Caenorhabditis elegans: one gene and its partners. The protein of the gene in region 3 interacts with the protein of the main gene of each other region in a pairwise test. Each region holds a gene or a part of one and is shown on either strand. Other genes may lie near its edges.

The links. Proteins that work in one complex are often made in the same cells at the same time.
Region 1: the proteins of K02E2.7 (region 3) and F26A1.7 interact in a two-hybrid assay, tested with the Caenorhabditis elegans proteins (one large-scale study listed by BioGRID).
Region 2: the proteins of K02E2.7 (region 3) and K12B6.4 interact in a two-hybrid assay, tested with the Caenorhabditis elegans proteins (one large-scale study listed by BioGRID).

Annotation. Positions count from the first base shown.
Region 1 is NC_003281.10:4,814,268-4,823,393, reverse strand, and holds F26A1.7 (Membrane transporter protein), read left to right. Parts: upstream 1-3,450; coding exon 3,451-3,520; intron 3,521-3,585; coding exon 3,586-3,713; intron 3,714-3,774; coding exon 3,775-3,973; intron 3,974-4,311; exon of another isoform or gene 4,312-4,371; coding exon of another isoform or gene 4,372-4,468; intron 4,469-4,512; coding exon of another isoform or gene 4,513-4,757; intron 4,758-4,803; coding exon of another isoform or gene 4,804-4,958; intron 4,959-5,102; coding exon of another isoform or gene 5,103-5,226; exon of another isoform or gene 5,227-5,349; intron 5,350-5,546; exon of another isoform or gene 5,547-5,854; intron 5,855-6,003; exon of another isoform or gene 6,004-6,153; coding exon of another isoform or gene 6,154-6,166; intron 6,167-6,313; coding exon 6,314-6,955; intron 6,956-7,235; coding exon 7,236-7,354; 3' UTR 7,355-7,574; downstream 7,575-9,126. Other genes in the region: F26A1.8 (Membrane transporter protein), read left to right, coding at 1,168-1,276, 1,322-1,449, 1,505-2,354, 2,466-2,596; F26A1.4 (non-specific serine/threonine protein kinase), read right to left, coding at 4,372-4,468, 4,513-4,757, 4,804-4,958, 5,103-5,226; arl-6 (ADP-ribosylation factor-like protein 6), read left to right, coding at 8,580-8,799.
Region 2 is NC_003283.11:6,278,741-6,284,835, forward strand, and holds K12B6.4 (Conserved plasma membrane protein), read right to left. Parts: upstream 2,536-6,095; 5' UTR 2,397-2,535; coding exon 2,334-2,396; intron 2,284-2,333; coding exon 2,170-2,283; intron 2,124-2,169; coding exon 1,737-2,123; intron 1,688-1,736; coding exon 1,640-1,687; 3' UTR 1,553-1,639; downstream 1-1,552. Other genes in the region: fil-2 (Lipase), read left to right, coding at 322-419, 465-1,171, 1,246-1,406; spe-49 (Dendritic cell-specific transmembrane protein-like domain-containing protein), read left to right, coding at 2,682-2,764, 2,807-2,990, 3,035-3,092, 3,144-3,323, 3,373-3,668, 3,715-3,810, 4,010-4,087, 4,133-4,366 and 9 more.
Region 3 is NC_003283.11:20,383,252-20,390,423, reverse strand, and holds K02E2.7 (Cilia- and flagella-associated protein 251-like), read left to right. Parts: upstream 1-3,381; 5' UTR 3,382-3,450; coding exon 3,451-3,516; intron 3,517-3,561; coding exon 3,562-3,645; intron 3,646-3,690; coding exon 3,691-3,825; intron 3,826-4,633; coding exon 4,634-4,750; intron 4,751-4,804; coding exon 4,805-4,856; intron 4,857-4,951; coding exon 4,952-5,170; intron 5,171-5,220; coding exon 5,221-5,301; intron 5,302-5,344; coding exon 5,345-5,655; 3' UTR 5,656-5,694; downstream 5,695-7,172. Other genes in the region: F53H2.1 (SH2 domain-containing protein), read right to left, coding at 183-244, 290-326, 369-484, 535-688, 731-963, 1,890-1,949, 2,036-2,152, 2,283-2,411 and 2 more; K02E2.11 (Phosphatidate cytidylyltransferase), read right to left, coding at 6,192-6,229, 6,289-6,334.

The DNA of each region.
Region 1 (9,126 bases), on a different chromosome or scaffold from region 3:
TTGAACCGTCAGAAGTTTGAGATAATAGATGATCGTCCATCGACCACAAATGGTCATTCATGTAAATTAGAAGATTTATCTTCTTTTTTTTCAATTATCAACATGATTCTTTTTGCTTTGTCGACGCGCAAAGTTTGGATGGAATCAGCCAAGGAGCGGTGTTGTTTTTTGAATGAGTTATTGGAAATTTCAAACAAAAAATGATGAGGGATAAACTAGATAGATTTGATGACGATGGAGGGCTTTGTTTTTGTTCATCGCAATCTCAAACAGTTTTTTTTCGGTTTGATTCTCAATATAATTTTGATGTAGTGACTAGAGAAGGTTGTACTCATACTCATTTTTGATATTTTAAAACATTTCTGCAAGATTTATTGAAGCATAACTTTAGCTTGCAAAAGACAAAAGATTTTTTTAATTGTATAAAACTTCCAAATTTTCTAACCATTCGAAACTTATGGAAAAATTCGAAATTTCTGGAAAAGTTCCAGTATTGAAAAGACCAGCCAAAAAATTAAAATATTTGAATTTTCAGATGGTTTCTGAATTAAAAAAAATTTTTGTCATTTATTAGGGATTTATAAATCATTTTGGCGTATTCTGCTATTTTAGAACTTCTTAATTTTTTTTTGAAAACCACTTAAAATTTTTCGAACCATGTTTTTGACCACATGATGTGTTTGGTGGGGAAAGGTTTTTTAATTCCGATACCTGAACCTACATTTTTGAAAATACCAGAAAAACGAAGTCCAGAGAAAAAACACATCTAGATGCATAGTACCAAATTAACTATGAATAAATATTCATCATCTTTTCTCTAATCACGGAGCCTCCAGAGAATTATACAAAACATTGAGAAATAACAAGCAAATCTGAGAGACCTAGACATTTGTGATCTTTCAACATTCAGCGACAAAACCGCGTCGAGGTCATCGACAAAATTCATAGAACAAGAGATTTCGACGCAAAAAGACAGAACTTGAAACTCCGCCCATTTAAAGGCGCAAACATGACCTCTTTGTCTCGGACAGTGTCTTTATCATTTCCGTTGCTATCCTCCTACCGTACTCCTACTTCCAAGTTCCGCCCATTATTTTGATTCTTATAAAAAGCTGCGATCAAACAATTGAACCACCAACCAACTTATTTTCTATAACTTGTCTGAAAATGGCCTCGATCCGACCAATGGAGCTCGAGAAGATGCCCTATACTGAAGAGGAGCCGCTCACTTGTGGTGGAAAAGTAAAGAGATGGTGCAAAAAATATCTTCTCGAAGGTAACTTTTTCAAACATTTTACAGTTTTTAAGGTAATAATTTCAGGTCAACATCTTGAAGAAGGTCAAGCTGATAAAATGGCAAATCTTCCTGAAAATCCAACATTTGGAGATCTGGTTTTCATAAAATACAGGAAATTCGTCGCAATGTTGATCCCATTCCTTCTGATTCATGTAATTTTTTGAATATTTTTATTATGAACGAAATTATTCAAAAATTCAATTTCAGACAATCTGGTGGTCTACTGCAATTCGTCATAATCTCTTCCAATTCTACAATGATTATTGGCACATGCCAGTTACCATGGCACTTGGATCTTTTGTTGGTGGAATGACTTCTGAAGGATCCGGAGCTGTGGCTTTCCCTGTAATGACTCTTGCTCTTCACATCAAACCGGAAATAGCAAGAGACTTTTCATTGATGATTCAATCGATTGGAATGACGTCAGCACTCGTCTGCGTGCTCTTTATGAAAGTGAAGTTCGAGCATCGTGCAGTTATAATTGGATGCCTTGGAGCTGTACCTGGATTTATTATTGGAGTTCATTATATTGATCCATTATTTAGTGGAGCTCAAAAGAAAATGCTCTTCGTTTCAATTTGGACAGCATTTGCATTTGCATTGGGAATTTTGAATGCTCAAAAGAAGAGATCAACATTCCGTGAAATTCCAGAATTCTGTGCATGGAAAGGATGGGTTCTGTTCTTTACTGGAATTATTGGAGGAATATTTGATGCATTTGCTGGATCAGGAATTGATATTTGCATCTTTTCAGTTATAACTCTCTTATTCCGTGTAACTGAAAAGACTGCAACTCCAACAACTGTTGTACTCAAGGGAGTTATTGCTGTTTTTGGATTCTACTACAGAGCTGTTATGATGGGAGATATTGATATTATGGCATGGAGATACTTTGCAGTTTCGATTCCAGTTTCTGCTGCAACAGGACCAATCGGATCATTCTTGGGATCACATCTTCATCGTCAAGTTGTGGCTGGATTTGTGTATGTTCTTGAGGCAATTGCTCTTGTTGGATTCCTCTGTACAAAGCCTGCATGGCAACTTATTGCAGTCGGAGGTTAGTAAAATGTATAAAATGTATCTTACTTAGTGCTTTGATATCTACATATTTCTATCAAATATTCACCGTAAGCTTCACAAAATATATTTTATTTTTCCAATTTTTTAGGTTGCATCATCCTTGGTGGATTTGTCTTCTTCTCGGCACTATCCAAAGCTGGATCTATTCTGATGAACCGTATTGAAATCCGCCAAGAAAAAGCTGCTCAAAAAGCTGGACTCACTTCTGGAACTTATTAAACATTTTATGTATTCCAATTGTTTTTCGTAACGGGTTCGCTTTGATAGTTTAAATCCTTATTTTGTTCAACCTCGCTCTTTTCTATGTGAAAATTTGTTGTGATCTCTTCAGTATCTAGTAATATAGTCTAAAATAAAGATTTAAAAAATTGTTTTGACTTTAACTTTTCAATTGAAAAGTTTTAAGAGAAACGTTTGCAAAGCCCATGATTTTTCTAATAAAATTTTTTAACAAAACGTTTGTCAAAAGAAGTTATTTTTTCCTTCGAATAAAACTAATGTACCATCTAAAAAATTATTGTGATAATACAAAATTATAGATTTAATTATAAATTACAAAAAATGGATGAACACATCACTTGAGTGCCTGTCATTCATGTAAGACTTAATATAAATTTTCAATTGAAAATAATGAAGAATGGTGTGATGCCTTCTTACTTACTTTATTTTAATGATATATTTTATACAACTTTTTCTCAACAACACCCTAGTTATTCATTTTTCAGTATTTGATCTGGCCACTCATTTAATCTCTGTTCATCCTCCAGCCAGTAATCTGCCTCTGAACTAAAAAACGTCATGAACATGAGAAGTTTGAGAACTTGTGCACTCAACAAATTTTGTTTCGTTGGAAACATTTTCAGTTTCATTTTTTCAAACTATTCTGAATGTTTTATACTTTCAAGTAAACTTTTGTCATTTATGAGAAAACATTTTTAATCTAATTTGTCAGATAAGAAGTTTTGGTTTCCCAATTTTTTCATAAATTGTTTTTTTTAATTATTGATTTTATGAATTTGAATCAGAAAAAGAAATCAAACTAAAGGCTTTAACCCTAACTTTTTTTCAGATAAATGGGCAAAGTCGTCAAAAAATCATGTGGAAGTGGAGTCAAAAATTGGTGCAAAAAGTATATGTTAGACGGTTAGCACATCTTGTTTTTTTTCTTTTTTTTTTAATTGAAAAATATTTTAATTTTAATTCTTTAGGTCAAACACTTGAAAACGATCAAGCAGAAAAAGTCATCAATCCACCTGAAAATCCATCAACTTATGATATTCTATTTATCAAATATCGCAACTTTACAGCTATGCTAATACCCATGATTTTTATACATGTGAGTTTTTTAAAATAAACTTTCTTCAAAAATTTAATATAATTAAAAATAAAATATTTAGATGATTTGGTGGTCTATTGCATTTCGATATGATTTATTTCAATATTACTCCGAGTTTTGGCATATGCCAGTTGTAATGATACTTGGCTCAACGATTGGTGGAATGACGTCAGAAGGAGCCGGTGCGGTGGCATTTCCTGTTATGACATTGGGACTACATATTGATCCAGATATTGCAAGAGATTTTGCATTGATGATGGGTGGGTAAATATTCAAAGAATCTTATTTTGAAGCTCAATTCCAGGGTAAGCCTGGTATTCCTGGTATTCCAACTTGAATTTTATATAAAATAGAAAAAAATTATTCCATTTTGTCTAAATTTGAAACTGAATTTTAACGAAAAAACATTGACACACCTGCGGGCACAGGTTGTTTTGTAGAATTGCCATAATTAATTTCCGCTCATCTTCTGGGTTTCGAAGCGATCAAAAAGTCTCTTAGTTTCAGTAAAAATGTTCATTTTGCTTCTGTAAATGCAGAAATTTGTTTTGTTTCCGAAAATCTAAAAAGCAAGATGGGTATTGGAAAATGACGAAAAAAAAATTCATGGAAGAAAAATGTATTGAACATAAGAAGAGTTTTGAAGAAAGATCTATTTTCAATTTGCCATCCGCTCGGTCACATTTTCTTTTGTTCCACCTGGTGTTCCATTAAGTCCTTCGCCAGTTGTCGGTGTCATTGGATTGTGAGGCTGACTGAAAAGTGTCAATTATATTTTTAATTATTCAGCTTGACCTACCGGTACTGCCATTCGTAAGGCTCGCTTTCCTTGAGATCCGCTGGATTGCACTCTTCAATCAATGCGAGCAGCTTCTCATAATCCGGAATACTGTGATAGTTCAGAGACTCGATGTACTCTGCAGCTTTCGTCATGAGTGGTTTCTTGATGCACAGCTTCTCTCCAATATGGGCTTGCTTCAACTTGATGCAGTTTTCCTCGGATTTCTCGTACGACCATGGAAGACATCCATCTCCACATTCAATCTGAAATATTTTAATTATTTTTTTGAAAATACATTGATATGCTTACAGTTGTGTAGAGGAATGAAACCAAGTCGTTTTTGGGGCCGAGGTCCTGACGTGCATGAGCATCCAAACTCATGTAGCGCATTGTACCACGAAGGCCAAGTCCGGGACGGGGGTTTCGGACGGTTCCACACTTGTCAAGGTATTGGCGTGTCAGAACTGAAACATAAACATAAGTTGTAATTCATCATTGCTCCGTAGGGACGCGGGCGAGCAGGTGCAACATGGAGGAGCGCTTCTTTTAAGGTTTGAAAGTTTGCTCTTCCCCCTAGATGCTCGCATTTTCAATTTAAAAAACCATACCGTAATCAATCAAGTAGATACGAGTACAATCCGTTGCACCAATACAACAATTGGGTGGCTTTATGTCCCGATGCAAGAATTCTGCCCGATGGACCAACGCGAGAGCCTTCAGAACTTGGGCCATTGCACGGTAAAGAGTCCGATCCGTGATTCGTTTGTGTGGAAGAGCTCTTCGAACATCTCTTGTTCTTGTGATGCGTGTTCCACTTTGACGGCGCAGTCTTCTTTACGAACTTTATCCCAAGCTCTGAAAATGTTCCAGGTTAGTAAATAAGAAAATTAGATTTCAGATTGTTTTTTAATGTTATAGCTTCCAAAAACGTTTTGAACGTTAAGCTAAAACGACAGTAGACGAAAAGTAGACTAGGTGAAAGAAAGCTCACAAAACTTAAACTCTCCTGTAGCAAGACGAGTTCAAAAATATTTGTTTAAAGTAGAACTAACCTGTAGATCTGGGCGAATCCTCCGCCGCCAATAATCCCCTCAACTTCGAATCTTCCCGAAATCACCGATCCTTCCGCCATATAGTTGATGTTCTTCATTTGATTGTGGACAGCTCCGGCAATTTTCTGGTTCTCCTTCTTTTCATCCTCTTTCCCTTTGCTCTTCTCTTCCTTCTTCTCGTCTTTCTTCTTACTTTCATCGGCCTTTTTTTCTTCTTTTTCCTTCTTTTCCACGTCCTTTCTCTCGCACGACATTCCTTTTCTTCTTACTTCTTAACTGCTGCCGCTTTTTAAATTTTATAAATTCAAAATAATTGAATATACATTTCCACCTCCCCCTCCCTTCCCCCCCCCTCCGTTCGCTATTTAATTTTTACTAAAATGTCACGTTTGAATAATAAATAAATTTATTGAGGAATTCAACTTTTAAAATCAAAATGCAAAAATCAAAAGACGTGAAAAATTACTGAATAAAATTCTGTGAAACAGAAAAAACTGACACCGGGTAGTGCCAGACCTAAATACAGTAGTTGCTAATTTGCAATTTTACTACAGAATTGCTATCCTCTAAGCCTTCAAAGTGGCCTACGCCTGCTGGTAAGGCAGGCATGAGGCAGGCACGTAAGTCTGAAAAGTTACCTGACATGGAAGCTTAGGAAAATTTTTCTGTCGGTTTCTTGAATATAAAACTCCCAAAAAATAAAAAGGTTCCAACTTTATATTATCAAAAAATTGCTAGATCGTTCAAAAATAAATCTTTAATTTCAGGAATGACGTCAGCACTCGTCTGCGTGCTCTTTATGAAAGTGAAGTTCGAGCATCGTGCAGTTATAATTGGATGCCTTGGAGCAGTACCTGGATTTATTATTGGTGTTCATTATATTGATCCATTATTCAGTGGAGCTCAAAAGAAAATGCTCTTCGTTTCAATTTGGACAGCATTTGCATTTGCATTGGGAATTTTGAATGCTCAAAAGAAGAGATCAACATTCCGTGAAATTCCAGAATTCTGTGCATGGAAAGGATGGGTTCTGTTCTTTACTGGAATTATTGGAGGAATATTTGATGCATTTGCTGGATCAGGAATTGATATTTGCATCTTTTCAGTTATAACTCTCTTATTCCGTGTAACTGAAAAGACTGCAACTCCAACAACTGTTGTACTCAAGGGAGTTATTGCTGTTTTTGGATTCTACTACAGAGCTGTTATGATGGGAGATATTGATATTATGGCATGGAGATATTTTTCCGTTACTGTGCCAATTTCTGCATGTGGAGGTCCTATTGGATCATTCATTGGATCAAATTTACATCGTCAGTTGGTTGCTTCGTTTGTTTATATTTTAGAGACTTTTGCACTGGTTGGATTTTTACTCACTAATCCTGGTTTGGATTTGATAGTTGTCGGTGGTAAGTGTTTTCATAAAATATTAATCACTAAAAACTTGTGGGTTTTTCTGTTTGAAAAATATACAAAGAGGATTTTAAAAAATCAATGAAAACCTTTGTAAAAAATCTTAGATGTGTATCCTATATAGGCGGAAAGGATTAGCGTTTTTTTTTTCAAACTAGTTTTATAATCAAAAAAGGTCTAAACGTACTTGAATTAGTCTAAAATTTTAGTATGTTGTAAAAGAAATACGTTTTATACAGCAAAGAAAATACTATCGAAGAATCGGATCTATTACAGCTCTCATCATTATCGGAGGTTTCGTTTTCTTTTTCTTTGTGTCAAAGGCGGGAGCTTCACTTATGCAGACGGTAATTGAAAATGAGAAACAAAAACAACTGGAGAAAGCTCAAATCTGAATAATAGAATTTCATTTATGTAACGAATGTTTAGTATCTTCTCTGTCTTCTTTTTCTGCCCCTCATGACCACCTGCTTGTTTGCTTGTTTCCATGGTTACCTGCTTGAGATGCAAAGCGAAATATATCGACTTTTACCTCTTTATTCTTCTTTTTTATTTTGCTTTTGAATATTATGAAGCTTCGAAAATTATTTTAATTGATAATAAAATTGAATTTTACATTACAATTGTCTCTCCCTTTTATTTTCTATCATTATTTCCTTTTCTTCTCTGACCACGAGCAAGGTGACAGTTTTATTACCAGACGACGCAAAAATTGGAAATTTATGGATTTCGGTACCTTTTCCTTATTAATCCCTCTAACGCAGGATTAGTTGCCAAATCGACAGGCGGAAACTGTCAAAAAGGGAAGAGTATTGCGTAATTTAAGGAAGGAAGCAGGTCGCTATGGGAATTATTTTGAGTTAGGAAGGAAAGTTAGGATCAAGAAACTTGGACATATTTCGAGTCTTTAATTGTCAGCTAATACCGACTGTCTTTGGTTTTATTAAAATTTTGTCAACTAACAAAACTAACAAAATATTTGTCATGAAACAGTTTTTCTGTCTGCAGAATAACCTGAAAGCCAGCGTGTCAATGTGTAGTAGACGAGTGCAGGACATATTTACAAAATTATCCGACAATTTTTTAAAGTGCTTTTTTCTGCACGATATTCTAGATGTTACTGTTATTAATAAATTTTAAAAATGTAGAAAATTATTTTATTGATTTGAAAATTATGTTCATATTTGTTGATAAATTTGGAAACAACCTCAAGTACATACTGCAAGATAAAATTCAGTTAAAAAAAAGAGTAGTTTGTTAAACATAAAACTGGATAGTTCAAAAGTAATTATCAAAAAGGTTTTCAAAACTATTCTTATAAAACTATATTTTTTCTTCCACTGAACATCTTTTTCTTACACTTTAAGCTTCCAAGACTAAATTAACGTTTTTAATTTATCACCCAATTCTTATCAAATGATCCTAATTAAAAAAAAAACGGTTTAAAAATATATCCTAGTATGTCCCCCAACCATCTGTCAGATTATTGATACTTCATTTCTTTTTCAATCCTTTTTGAACTCTTGCCGAAAAGGTCATTATGACATTCTGTCACTTATTGACACCCAAAATCGATTAATCATCTAGAAAATACTTTGAAATTAAGATCTAAAAAGATCAATGGGCTTCTTTTCGTCATTGTCCAGTTTATTCGGATTGGGAAAAAAGGATGTGAACATCGTTGTAGTTGGACTGGATAACTCGGGAAAGACTACAATTTTGAATCAACTCAAAACTCCAGAGACAAGAAGTCAGCAGATTGTGCCAACTGTTGGACACGTGGTTACGAATTTCAGTACTCAAAATCTCAGTTTTCATGCATTCGATATGGCAGGACAAAGTATGTGAGACACGCTTGAATTTCAAATTTTATATTGAAATTGTAGAATCTTTCGGTCAGTAATTTATAAAACTTTTTCGGCGTAGGGCTCGAAACGGTCATTGCAATTTTATAGTTTCAAGTTCAAAAATTCCACTAATCGATTGATAAACTTGAACAACTAAAGTCGTTTTCCTGAACTGATGAAATATGTGTTAACAAAATGTAGATTTGGAAGTAGGCACGCGTGTAGGCATGCGGTAGGTATGATTATTTTTCGCGCCTTTGTAGAAACGTACAATATAATTTATCGGAGTTTTTGCCAGATTTGGCTGAAGTTGGAAATCT
Region 2 (6,095 bases), about 14 Mb from region 3:
CAATTTTATTTGCAACCAATTCACGCGGTACTAATGAGGGACAGACTGCACTCCTATAGATGCTCAAACATCGATGTCTTCTACTCCTACCTAATAAAACATCGCATAGTAATGATATCACATAAACCTACACATGTTTGATTATTAGTTTTATCTTTCTTCCTCGGATACGGTCTTCATCTGATACTCAATTTGCGTAAATCAGCTTCTCGCCTACACAACGTCAGTTATCAGTGTGCAGGACGCAGTTCATAACACACGCCGATGAGGTGTGACCCTATAAAAAGCAAAGCCGATGCCGTGCTCTTCAATCATTCCATCATGCTCTTCTCACTTTTCGCTTTTCTTGTAATCAGCTGTCAAGCAGCATCAGGCGTCAACGGACCATTGACTACAGATTTTCAGAATTGGCTGAAAATGTGAGTTCAAATCCTATTTGTGTCTGAAAAAGAGTTAAATTTCAGTAATGGTTATGACAGCTATGATTTCGTTCGAAGCGATTATGGAGTCAAAGGAAGTTATGGTGGTTTTACTAAAACCATCACTAAAGCAAGTAAAACTCCTGTAATATTTATTCATGGAAACTCTGACAGTGCACTTAAAACATCATCAATGGCCACAGGTTGGGACAACACCATTTCATACTTTTCAACTCAAGGATTTACTTCTGCGGAATTATATGCCACATCTTGGCAGGATACAAATTCTCTAAAAGCTGAAACAAGAACACATGATTGCAAAGATCTGACTCGTCTACGAAAATTCTTTGAAGCTGTTCTAGCATACACAGGATATGCTAAAGTATCGGTGATCAGTCACAGTATGGGAGTGACTCTTGGAAGAAAGGTTATACAAGGTGGAATTGTGAATGGGACTGATGGAAACTGCAATTTGGGAGTATCAATCAGTGGCAAAGTTGATGTGTTCGTTGGAATTGCTGGTGCTAACTATGGTCTTTGTGGATGCGCAGGAACAGTCGGCTTGTTTGCTCCCACTTGCAACAAAAAGAATGGCTTTTGGCCTGGAGATTCGTGTGGAGGCTATACATCATCATTCTGTGGTTATTCATCTACTCCCTGCAATGGAATTTCCAAATACTCGAACCTTCTCAATGATATGAACAACTCGAACAAAAAGGAAGCCTCTTACATTTTCAGTACTTGGAGTAAAGGTTTGTTATAATTTTTTATTATAATTTTTTCTTTTCGTTTCATTTTTCTATCGTGCTTAGTTTTTATTTTTTAGCCGACGATCTCATTGGTAACAGTGATATTGTATGGGGCCGACCAACTTCTCTCATCCCACTCAGCGACGGAAAGATCATTTACGAAAAACTAACTCATATGCAAAGCAAAGAAAACACAGCGATCGACCAGTACAAAATGGTCACTTCTAAGAAAGTCTGATGTATTGAAACAGAAAGTTTCAGTTTGCATGTCTGTAAATTATCATTGTGTATGTCATTAATCTGTGTGTATCGGTAAAATAAACCCCTCGTTGAAAATGTGTGATGATTCGGGATTATTGTTGAGCAGTGCTGATAAGGTTTTTTTTTTCTCGTTTTATTTATGAAAGATTAAAATGTCACATGTTCAAAGAAATTTATGAATTCCTGCAAATGTTGAAAAAAATCACACAATTAATACGCTTCATCATGATACCCTGTCCTCGCACGAGATTGTATGAACTGAAAATCCATTATTATTATTTCTAAATTTTCTAATAGATAGGTTTACTTTTGGAACTTGATGACCGTAACGATTCCGGAGAAAAGTGTGATATTTAGAAATGAATATGATGAAGAGAAGACAGCATATACATGCAAAAAGGCACAGTCCCATCACATAAATAATGATTGTTTCCTCATACTCATCAGTCCTATAATCCTTTGAAACAACCAATATCCGCGCGAGAAGAACTCCAAATGCCAGAAGATTCATGAATATTCCGACGACGAGAGCCGTGAAGTTTGGCACCACAAACACAGGACGATAATATTTGAATGACAAGACAAGGATGAGAATTGAAAAAAGCCAAAATGATCCGAATCCGACATACCAAGCCATGCCGAGCTCTACCCAAGACTCACTCCAGATGGTTGCGTTGAATTTTAGAGTACCATTCTGAAATTAATACAGTAATCAAATGACAATTTATTCTAAGATTTACCGCAGCTGCCTGTGCTGTTGCATTATAAGGAGTTCTGGGATACACAGTCTGCCATGTTCGATAACGATCAAGAATAAGACCAGTACTTGAAAGGGTCAGCACAAGAACAATGAGCTGAAAATTGCGAATGTTTTTGATTTCCGTTAGTTGAATAGCCAAATTACCTGAAGACTGGTTACAACTCCAGCAGATGTTACAACATTACACCCGCACACTTTATCAGTCATTTTTAAAAAAAGTTGTTTTCCAAGGGGATTAGGAAAAAATAACAACGAAATAAGTGAAGAAGCTTGTGGAAAAGCGGGAATATGAGTTTCAAATAGAACCACTGAAGAATATTTAACGATAGTTTCTTTTGTTATTGAAAAATCCCCATTGTTTTTAAACAAACCAAAAACTCCATGGAAACGTCTCCACGCGTAATTGTACGTGATGTCTTCTTACGTTTCAAGTCAAAAACACAGGGAAATGGACAATGATTGCGTGGAAATCAATTATTTCGAAGTTTTCAGATGGGATTTTTCGATGATAAAAAACGGGATGAAGTTCGAAGACGAGAAAATATAGGTTTTCTGACAGACTATTTGGTTAGAAGGTAAGAAAACGTTAAGGAAACAATTCTTACTGATAATTTCAGCGAAGTGAGTGATTATTACCGCCTCCGGCTTCTCGTGAACTTTCTGTTCGGCCTCTTGATTTCCTCCTCCCTTTATCATGCTGGCTGGAAAAACTTGAACTTTGGAGATTTTGACTATACTTATGGGCTGATCGTTAAATGGACTATTGTTGCTTTCTCCACTTATGCCTTTGCAGTGAGCCCGGTTTGAAAAACCTCTAATTTATGAAATAAGTTAAAATTTTCCAGATTTTTCGATGTGCTCTGTTTTGTGTATTAATTGGCGCGTTTGGCAAACAAGGACAATGTAAAGCTTTGATAATTTATTTGCGGAATGACTAGAATAACTTATTTCTAGATCCGTTCACTATGTTAGTTATGAGCAACCTCCAAGAGGGACCAATTTCAAATATGATGTCAAACTATGAAACAACGTCTGAGATTGTGATGTGTCATATTGAGTTACAATCCAAGATCACTGCAAATCGTGTAGCTTTATTAACAGGGCCATTGGAGGAGTTGATCGAAAAGTTGATGGGTAACTATATTGTTAACTAATAACCTCTTTGAACAAAAAGTTATTTCAGCAAAAGGAATTCGAGCAATGAAAGCAGTTTCTCGAGAGACTAGAGCTCTGATAACACCTTTTATGGAACTTCTAAAAACTGAGAAGACTAAAATAGACAAGAAAATTGAAATTGAAAGAGGACAATTGGAAGATATCGAAAAACGGAAACAACGAATCTTGAAGATGTGGGAGAAGTCCATGAATCGATCGCTTACAGAGGAAGATCAGATTGCCGGGGAGCTGTTACCTGCTGAAGATCTTATAGACAATGTTACCATTGGAGAGCCTCCAGTCTGGAAGAAATTTAAGACACCGGTGGGTGCAAGTGAAACTGAAAAGGATTTATTGGAGAACATTTCAGCTTATTCAAAAAATGGCAGATAAGATGTCTAGAAACTGTGAACAGATGTTTAATAAGGGAATCGATAAGTGCAGAAATCTTGCTGCGGAGCTTGTGGTATGAAACGTTACACAATATAGTTATCTTATTTCAAGATAATCGTTTCTTTTCTCAAAATTATCCATTTTACCGTTCTGTTCGTTTTTAGAAAAAAAATTAAATGAACTTTCGAGAAAAGAAACTTTCTCGTAAGAACCCTAACTCTAATATTTTTCTCTCTCTCTCGGTGATGTTTCGATATGATATTTATTTTCAGTCTTCGTGTAAAGATGCAATTATTTGGCCTATTGAAGCATTCATCTGTCCCAAATTAAACGTCGAAGGCGTCTGCGATGTAAATTTTTCCCAATAATTCAACTGCCTAATCACAAATTTTCAGGCAGTCGAAAGAAGGGTTCAGTCCATGAATATTTGCAGAAATCAGCTGGAGGAAAGTCACGTGGATCCATCTATCGAAAAAGATGTTACTGATGTGATGAAATTGACAGAGGAACTGGAACAAAACAGTAATATTGAATTGCATTCTGTTAGGGTTGAAACGCCACGAGTAGCCATTGAATATAGACTTTCGGATTTGAAAATCAAAATTCGAGCTGCTAATCTTTATTTCAAGGTATTTCATTTTATTTTATTACTGCTATGAATTCCGTTTTCAGAGTATTGTTGGAGTTTCAAAGCAAATCTTTCAAGCATTCTTTATATACTTTGTCTATACCATTTTTCGCGATTCTGTCGGGATGATCCGGAAGTATCAGGAGGACGTCGCATTTTCCAATTCTTTTGTTACAAAGTTATTAATTCAATTTACAATTGGGTTCTCAAATGACTTGATTTTCAGAGAGTTTTGGATGATTGATAGATTTCGACAAGCTCGAGGACAAACTCACTTATCGCATTTTTCAAAGCAAGAGAAACGTGAGTGGCGAGTAATGGAAGTATTTAGGTGATTGTCTAAAACAAACAATATAATTTACTCAAAATATTTTCCAGTTTACCAACAAAAGCAGAAAGATCAAAAGCAGTTCGTCCATTTTTCCGATGGTTTATTCTAGCTCTTACCGTGTCTGTCATTATTATTCTCGACTATTATTTGTTTGTTTTCCTTGATTCGGTATGCTAAAATTAGACATTTAACTGCGTAACAATATCTATCTTTAGGTTGTCGAGTCGGCTAGACAACAGGTTAAGCAGAAAGCGAGTGCTCCCGCTGGACTCAATATTACTGGTGAAGGAGTTCTCGCAGATTTTCTCAAGACAATGACATCGACTAATGAAACACTGGAAGTTGATCAGGTTGGCGAGAAGGAAAATTTGATAACCTATTGATATTTTCAGACGCTTTCCAATGAGCATTGTTTGCTGAAGCCATTGGCACCGAATACGGATATTCTGATCTACTGGCTGGTGATTCCACTGTTGTTGTCATTTTTGTTTCAGGTACAAAATCTTTGGAGCTTTTCAAAAAATTACACTTTTTGAATGACTATAGCCGTTCCACCTATTGAGGCATAATCGGGTGCCTCTCACTCGTAATTTCACTCGCCCTCTTTGAAATTTGAATTTGATTGTGTAATTGAAACAACATGAGACATAGTGTCTTATAAACTCACTTGTTCCTTTCAGGTTGTGTTTTCATTTGCAATTCGTAGAATTGTGCTCAACTACTTTCTCCCCTTCATGTTCCCAATGCGATCAAAAGTTCGACTCATTCAATTTTATAACAAAGTTCATAAAATCATCATTTTCGCGATAACACACAACTTTTTCAGTGTCTGGTTAACCGTGAGAAGCATAGAAAAGAAGCAAGAGCACGGATTCGTTTTATGGTGGATCGAAGAAGAATCGAGACGCTGCGAAAAGGGTATTCTGAATTTGCAAAGTGTTTATCGTATGAGTTTTGAATTCCAGAGAATTTTCGGCTGGAGGCTCTTTTCTGAAACAACACGTCTTCGAAAGAATTTTCAAGACAGCAAAATGTTTTTTATGCCAAGAGAAGACTTATGCAAGGAAACTGTTCTATTGCGCTGAAGTAAAGTGTCAATCCAGTTTTTGTAAGGATTGTGTTGAGGACAACTTTGGAAAATGCTATTCGTGTATGTTTATCAAAAAAGAAGTCACTGATCAGAAATCCAAACTATTGGTATGCAATTTTAAATTTTAAAATTCTAGCAATCTTTTCAACTAGTTTATCTCCTCTTTCATTTTCAGAATCCCGACGAAGTAAAAACGAAGGATCAATTTTTGTCATATGGAGAATTTTTGGAAAGAATTCAACAAGATCATATGCAGAAGTGACGATGCTTCTAGTATTCAAATCTCATCAACAAAGAAATCATAAAACA
Region 3 (7,172 bases):
ATTTCTGTTAAAAAATCTGTTGGTACGTCAAAAGATTTCTTGGCAGATTTCTTATGGTACATTTATCAGTTTTTATTACTCGGCGGAAAACAATTGTCTTAATTGTTTTTAGATTAGAGACGGATAACAATTTTTGAATTCTTAAGTAAGATAATAATTTTCTGTAGCATGACTTTGAATACCTTTTCGATGAAAAATTGTCATAAATCTTATCTTGACCATTTCCAAACTGCTCAATTTCGACCTACAATTAACAGTTTAGTTTTGAAAAAATATAATAAATTCATACGTTTTCGTATATCGACTGATGTTTTGGGCGTGACGGACTGCAAGGAATCATACTGATTTAATAATTGTGAGTAACTTACAAATTAGACTGAGGTCGCCATCTTGCAATTTCTTTCGTATTTTCATAAATAGGACCAGTTTTATGTACTGAAGAAGACACCGAAGTACAACCTTGTTCATAATAATTCAAATATTCCTACAAATACAACTCCTTTTCTCCTCGTGTCTTCAGTACATAACACTCACCTTATAAGTATTTAAACTTGAAATTTCATCAATGTTAGCACGTCGAAAATTTTGTGGCGAGTAACATTGTGGCGAGCATATAGTGAAACATTGCATTTTTTGTTGAAAATTGTTGTTTTCAGCTTGTTGATTTGAGTTACAACTTTGCGATAGGCTGAAAATGAAACGTTTTATTGATTGTTTTCAATATACTCACAAAGTATTGATATGTCCACTTTGTGGTTGAAGCTGTTCAGCGGACAAATTCTTTAGGCACTGTGACTGCGAGAACAATGAGTCATCTACGTATTTTACAACAGTGCGGCCGTCTGATTCTTCATAGACGATTTTTAAACCTCCATAACTCCCCATTTCACTGCATGTGGTTATCTGCGTATGTGATGATGGCCACAAAAGGTTTGATTGGTCGTTTTTAGACTTATATATTTTCTGAAACTTGAATGTGGGCAGCTTTATACAACAGTGCCGGCCAATATTCTATTCACTTTCGGTTGTTCAAACACGTGTAACTCAAAAACTAAGATAGTTAGCAAAGTATTTTAAACTAAAAAACATGTTGCCGATTACTTGTTCTACATTTTTTTATTTTGAAAAAATTATACAACTCTGTTCCAAAAGAAAATTACAGCAACTGAAATCCGGCTGGTCCATTTTTGACTAGAATTTCTAATTGATTCACAATTTTAAAATTAGATATGTTCATGAAAGAAAGTTTAATGAAAAAAGAATCTCCACAAAGTTGTATACTTTTTGCAATTTGCTATTTTGTTACGAATAGACCAGGAAATGTTATACAAACGATAAAAAATAAAGCACAAAATTCGAAATTTTAAGCAAGTTCTGAAAATTGCGTTCAAATGTTTCACAGAGCAGTTTTTTCATCAAAAGCTTAAATAGTTGCAAAATGTATGAAATTGTTTGAACTCAGAATTTAATTTCAAAAAAAGTTTTGTTCGCATTATGAGAGAAAGCTGTCAATTCTGACCCTTCTAATGTAGGTTTAATCTTTTTATAAATGTTCCTGAGCACTTTGGAACAAAAAACAAATTGCAAAATGTAGACGCAATTGTGGATATTGTTTTAATATTAAATGTTGTTTCATGAAAAAATTCCTGTCAAAATACAAACGCGCCGAATTTCAGCACCTAGAACATTTTTCTGAACATAGTTATACAAATTTGGCAACTTTGAAAGTGTAGATAAAGTAACCGTAAACATTTTGTTAAATAAAAATAATTTGCTAACTGTTATAGTTTTTGAGCTACACATGTTCGAAGAGCTGAAGCAAATCACCGAAAACTTGGAAATGAATAGAATATTGGCCGGCACTGTATGTAATAAATTCGCATTCCTACCGTATTTTTGTTTCTTTCGTGACGTAGGAGGCTCTTAACATTCAAATCCCGGTCATGAAACTGCAATACAATTGTCTCTCAATTTACACAAAGTCGAATAAAAATATTTGGCAAATCTTACTGCCAAGACAAATTTTTAAACTTACAGTAACATACAATTTGTCATCCACAACAACATAAGTGTAACATTTCTGTTGATCCCTGGCTTGTTTCAAGACATAATCAACAGACTCCCGATACTTCCAGTAGAACCTATCCCAATCCTGCAAAATTAATCAACTTTTAAAGCCAACTACTAGAAACATTTGTTTTAAATAGATATCTGACTCGAAGCCAAGCAAAAAGACGGAAAGTGGGTTTCATCATATTAAAACTTATCAAAATGAAACCCACTTTGTTTGAAATAGCCCATTCAACGTCTTCGTAGAATTTACCAACGTATCCAGTATAATTTCGGTGAGGATTAAGTAGATACTTCAAACATTCCATAAAGTTATGAGCGCAATATGTGACCGTGTAGTTCTACAAAATGTTTAAACTCTTGTGATTCCACAGAATTTGCACAGAAGTAACAATAAATGAATCTTCTGGTGAACAAGACTTAAACTAACTGAAAACTTGAAGTTACCTTTGGTAAATCGACAGTTTTTAAATTCTCTGATAGTTTTTTGAATTGGGCACTGTAGAAGTTATAGAATTTTCTATATTTACTCTGAAAAATTAGAAATTGAGTTATCACTTAATTTTTTCCTACTTTTTGGGAGCATTCATTGAAGAGTTGTATCATTTCCGGTGTAATATAAAAACAAGCGAAATCCATTCTGGGAATTTCACGAATTTAACTTGTAAGCACTGCGGAAAGTTATCAAGAAACAAAATGTCAACTGAACTGATGTGCTGAAAGAAAAAAACCAAAGGTTAACTTATTGCTAGGCCTATGTTGAAAATCGATCACTGATAACAGTTTGTTTGTGGAAACATTTTGGAGTGAGGAATCGTTCAATATAGTTTGTAATCAACCTATAGGTTGCAGAAATTGTATGAGGAGTGTTTTTATTTGAAAAAAAGTTTGCCGTACATTCACTAAAGTAAAAAAAAACATGAATTTTGATTTGAGTTGTGCTTTTTTTTCAATTGAGAGACTTTTAAGTCTGTCGATTAAAAAACTAATAAGAAATTCGTAACTTAAAATGAGTGAAGATCGCATAATAATAATTTTCCAATAATTCCAATACAAGAAGTCAGCTATGATCTTACAAAGGCCAGAAGCAGGATGTGAAAATTTTTCAGTTTTAGCAATCGTACAAACAAATTGAATACTCTTTACTTTCTGAGCGGTTAAAAACTGATAACAGAATAATGTACTAGGAATAGATATTTCAGTTTAACATCACTATTAATTCCTTAGATGTGAAAACTCCTCGTTTGGTTTTTCTGCATAAACATCAAACTCTTATCAGTAACTTCCAACATAGACATACATAGCAATACTTTTCGAGTCACAGTTTTGTAATTGACATATTTTTTCTTGCTCATTAAATTCTATTAATTCGATTTCATAATGGAAATTCCATCTTTTCATATTACACCAGATATGAGAAACTTATTCAGTGAATGTGTTAAAGAAGTAAGGTAGTTTCCAAATTGATGACTTAATTCTTAACTTTTTCAGGGAAGTTATAAACTTTTCTACGACTTATACAAGAGTGAGTTCGAAGATCTAGCCGTACATTTGAAAACTGTCAGACTACCGGAGGTAACTCAGCTTTTACGGCGCAGTTGATAAAAAGTAACGTTCAAGGACACCGTACTCCACTACTGCGTAAGCAACTTCATGGAATGCGTGGAATATTTAATTCATACTGGCCGCGGATACAACTATTATGGTCACGTTTTTAGCTTTTACAGGGATGTTGACTGGGCAATTTTAAATGGAGTGAGTTTAAATTAATTTGATTTACATTTGAGCCACTTTCTTATAAAAATACACATTAAAGGTGGACTACACCCTGTGGGGAAATTGCTTTAAAACATGCCTTTGGGGTCACAATGACCGAATATCATGATGAAAAAATTTTAATAAAATTTCTAGGTTTTAAATGATTTTTTGAAAATTGAGAAAATCTCAGTTTTCCCCTAATTCCTATTTGAATTTCCGCCAATTGAATTCGTTCGATGGAGCGCGCTTGCATTATTTTCATAATTTTTTTATTTTATATTCATTATTTCACTGAATTTCTTTATTTTTTGGGGGTTTTTCATCGGAAAATGAAAGAAATAAACAAGAAAGAAGCAAAATGTTTATTTGAAAGTAATTGAAAATGCCTTAAACTCTGAAATTATGCGATCCGACGACGATGAGCCTGAAATTAATATTATTCAGAGTTTTAGGCATTTTTAGTTACTTTTTAATAAACATTTTGCATTTTTCTTGTTTATTTCTTTCACTTTCCGGTAAAAAATCCCCAAAAAATGAAGAAAATCAGTGAAATAATGAAAATAAATAAAAAAATAATGAAAATAATGCAAGCGCGCTCCATCGAACAAATTCAATTGGCGGAAATTCAAATAGGAATTAGGGGAAAACTGAGATTTTCTCAATTTTCAAAAAATCATATAAAATCTAGAAAAATTTTTTACATTTTTTATCATGATATTCGGCCATTGTGACCCCAAAGGCATTTTTTAAAGCAATTTCCCCACAGGGTGTATGTAGTCCACCATTAAATAATGTTTGACTTCAGGATTGGAGCAGATTTTACTGGAAATTTCGCGACTCCGTAGATTATGTTATAAAGAAAGCAAGAGAGCAACGGAAAATTCAAATTTATGTTGTTGAAGGAAGTGCACGTTATTCTTCTGTAAGTCATGCCTAGTTCCCAAAGATTGAACGTTTCTGACTTATTTCATTGCAGTTCCGTAGCCGTGATCGCAAAAATCCCAAAGAAAATTCTCCAGAAACTCGAGGTATGGTTTAATTTTTTTTAAGTCTAAAAAAAATTCAGCACAACCCTCTGATAATCTAAAACTAGACGTCTTAGTATCAGAAAACTCTGATTTAGTCCAAAAACCAGTCCTGGAAGATTTTGAGAAAAAATCGCAAGAGCGGGAAAATCGAAGACGAGAGCTTGAAGAGGAGCTGAGGAAACTGGATCTAGAGGAAAAAGAGCAACTGGCTATGATTTCAAACTTCAAAAGCCCGGAGCCGGAACTTCAACCAATTTCCCCGCCACCCTCAATACATGATGACCTTATAAATGACATGGATGGCGGAATGTTTGGTTAGCTCACACTTTTGAAAAAAACAACTTGTTTAAAAAAAAGTTTGTAGGTTCTGAAAAAACTGACGATTCAAGTTTGGAAGACTTGCAGCTTCATGTACAAGAAATGGACAAGAATACTATGTTAACAGGTTAGTTAAATTTTTTATTATGTATAAACATGTGTATGTACAGAAAATTTCGATCAAGATCAAGAAGAACTGAAACTTTTTGTGCAAGAACTAGAGCAAAACGCTGCTGAAACAATTAACAATTCCTCTCACCAACTCGAAAATGCTCTGAAAGCTGAAGAAAATATTGAAACTGAAATCTCTGAAGAAGAAGCTAGCGACGATGAAGAGGAAGACAATTTCCACACAATGCTCCAAGAACAAGCTGCACGTCACAAGGAAGAAATGGAAAAAGTCATGAAAAAACGGGCGGAGCAGAAGAAAAAGCTTGAGGAGCTAAACAGAAAAGTTAATGCAATAGTTTTTTACAAATAACTTAAGTTAGGTATTGTGTTCTTAAATCCTCACAATAAATCTCTCACTTACTATATATTTCGAAAACTTGCTTATTCATTGCGAATTTCAATTTTTCATAAGAAAATCTGGTTCATAGAACTTTTAACCTTTTAACCGATGTCATTCTAAACACTTTTGGTATTTCATTGACAGGTTCTGAAATTTGTTAAATAATTTTAAAACTTTTTGAAAAATTTCGAAAATTTTTTTTGGAATTCTCTGAAACTTTTTAGAATTTTTAGAATTTACTTTTTAAAATCTGTATTTTTCTGAAATTATTTAAACACTTTCTGAAATGGCTCTTTTTGTAGAGTTTTCAGACCTTTTCTGGAATTTTCTGAGCAAACTTCTAATATTTCATTGAGTGTCTATTAAAATTATTTAAACAATCGATTCATTGACAAAAAATAAAAAAATATGAACAGATATTCTGTATGAGGTGTCTAAATAAATTTTAAAAATCAAATTAAAACTTGAGTAGATATCGTGTATGAGGTTTCACAACCCTTCCATCTTTAAAACCCGTTGCAGATAACTGGTACAAGGATTATTTCTGAAAAATAAAGAAAATTATTGTATAAGTATGTACATATTTTTTCTCTAACTATGTACCTTGAAAACGCTTCGAATAGTTATTCAATTTCGCCTCCAGGTCCATCTACAAACAACATTCCTGAAAAAAAATTGGAAGTGAGAATTTTTTTCAAATTTAACGCTAATATTTGATTTTCCAAATTAAAAAAAGATAAAATCTTCAAAATTCCAAACAACCGATACAATTTTGGCCAAAACGAGTTTGAAAAGATTTTGAAGGGTAAATTTGGAAATTGTTTCAAGTTTTACTAAGCAACCAGGAAATTTTTCGCGTTATAGGGTTGATTTTTTTGGAAAAAAACTGATGTAAAATTAGCAGGTTCACATATATTTTCGCTGGATGTTGTTAATGAATTTGATGTGGAAATTGTGAATTTTTATCTATTTCAGCTCAATTTTTGGCGGGAATTCAAATTTCTGTCAAACAATTTTAGCGGAAATTTGAATTTCTTTATACAGCTGGTGTTATAGCCTCTCCGAATGTCTCGGGAGTAACTTCTGAAAAAAAAAGTTTTGGCGAGAATTCAAATTTCTGTCAAACAATTTTAGCGGGAATTTAAATTTTTTCTAGAACATTTCATTTCTATTTTAAACCATTTTCCTTTGAAAAAATCTTATAAAATAAGAATTTTTGTGGGAACACTACAATTTCTAATTCAAAATCTAATTTTTCCTCATTTTCAACTATCTAAAAATAATAACTCACCGTTTTCAAGAAAAATCCATAAAAATTAGAAAAAAATCAGCAGAAAATAAAGACCCTCACACAAAGAGTCATAGTAAATATTCGAAATGAGTCGATTGTGGTCTGAACGGTGAGGCTGGAGAGACGAGAGAGACGAGAGAAACAAGGAAATGAGAGAGACGTGGCAGACACGAGACACAGATTTTTCCAACGCGGC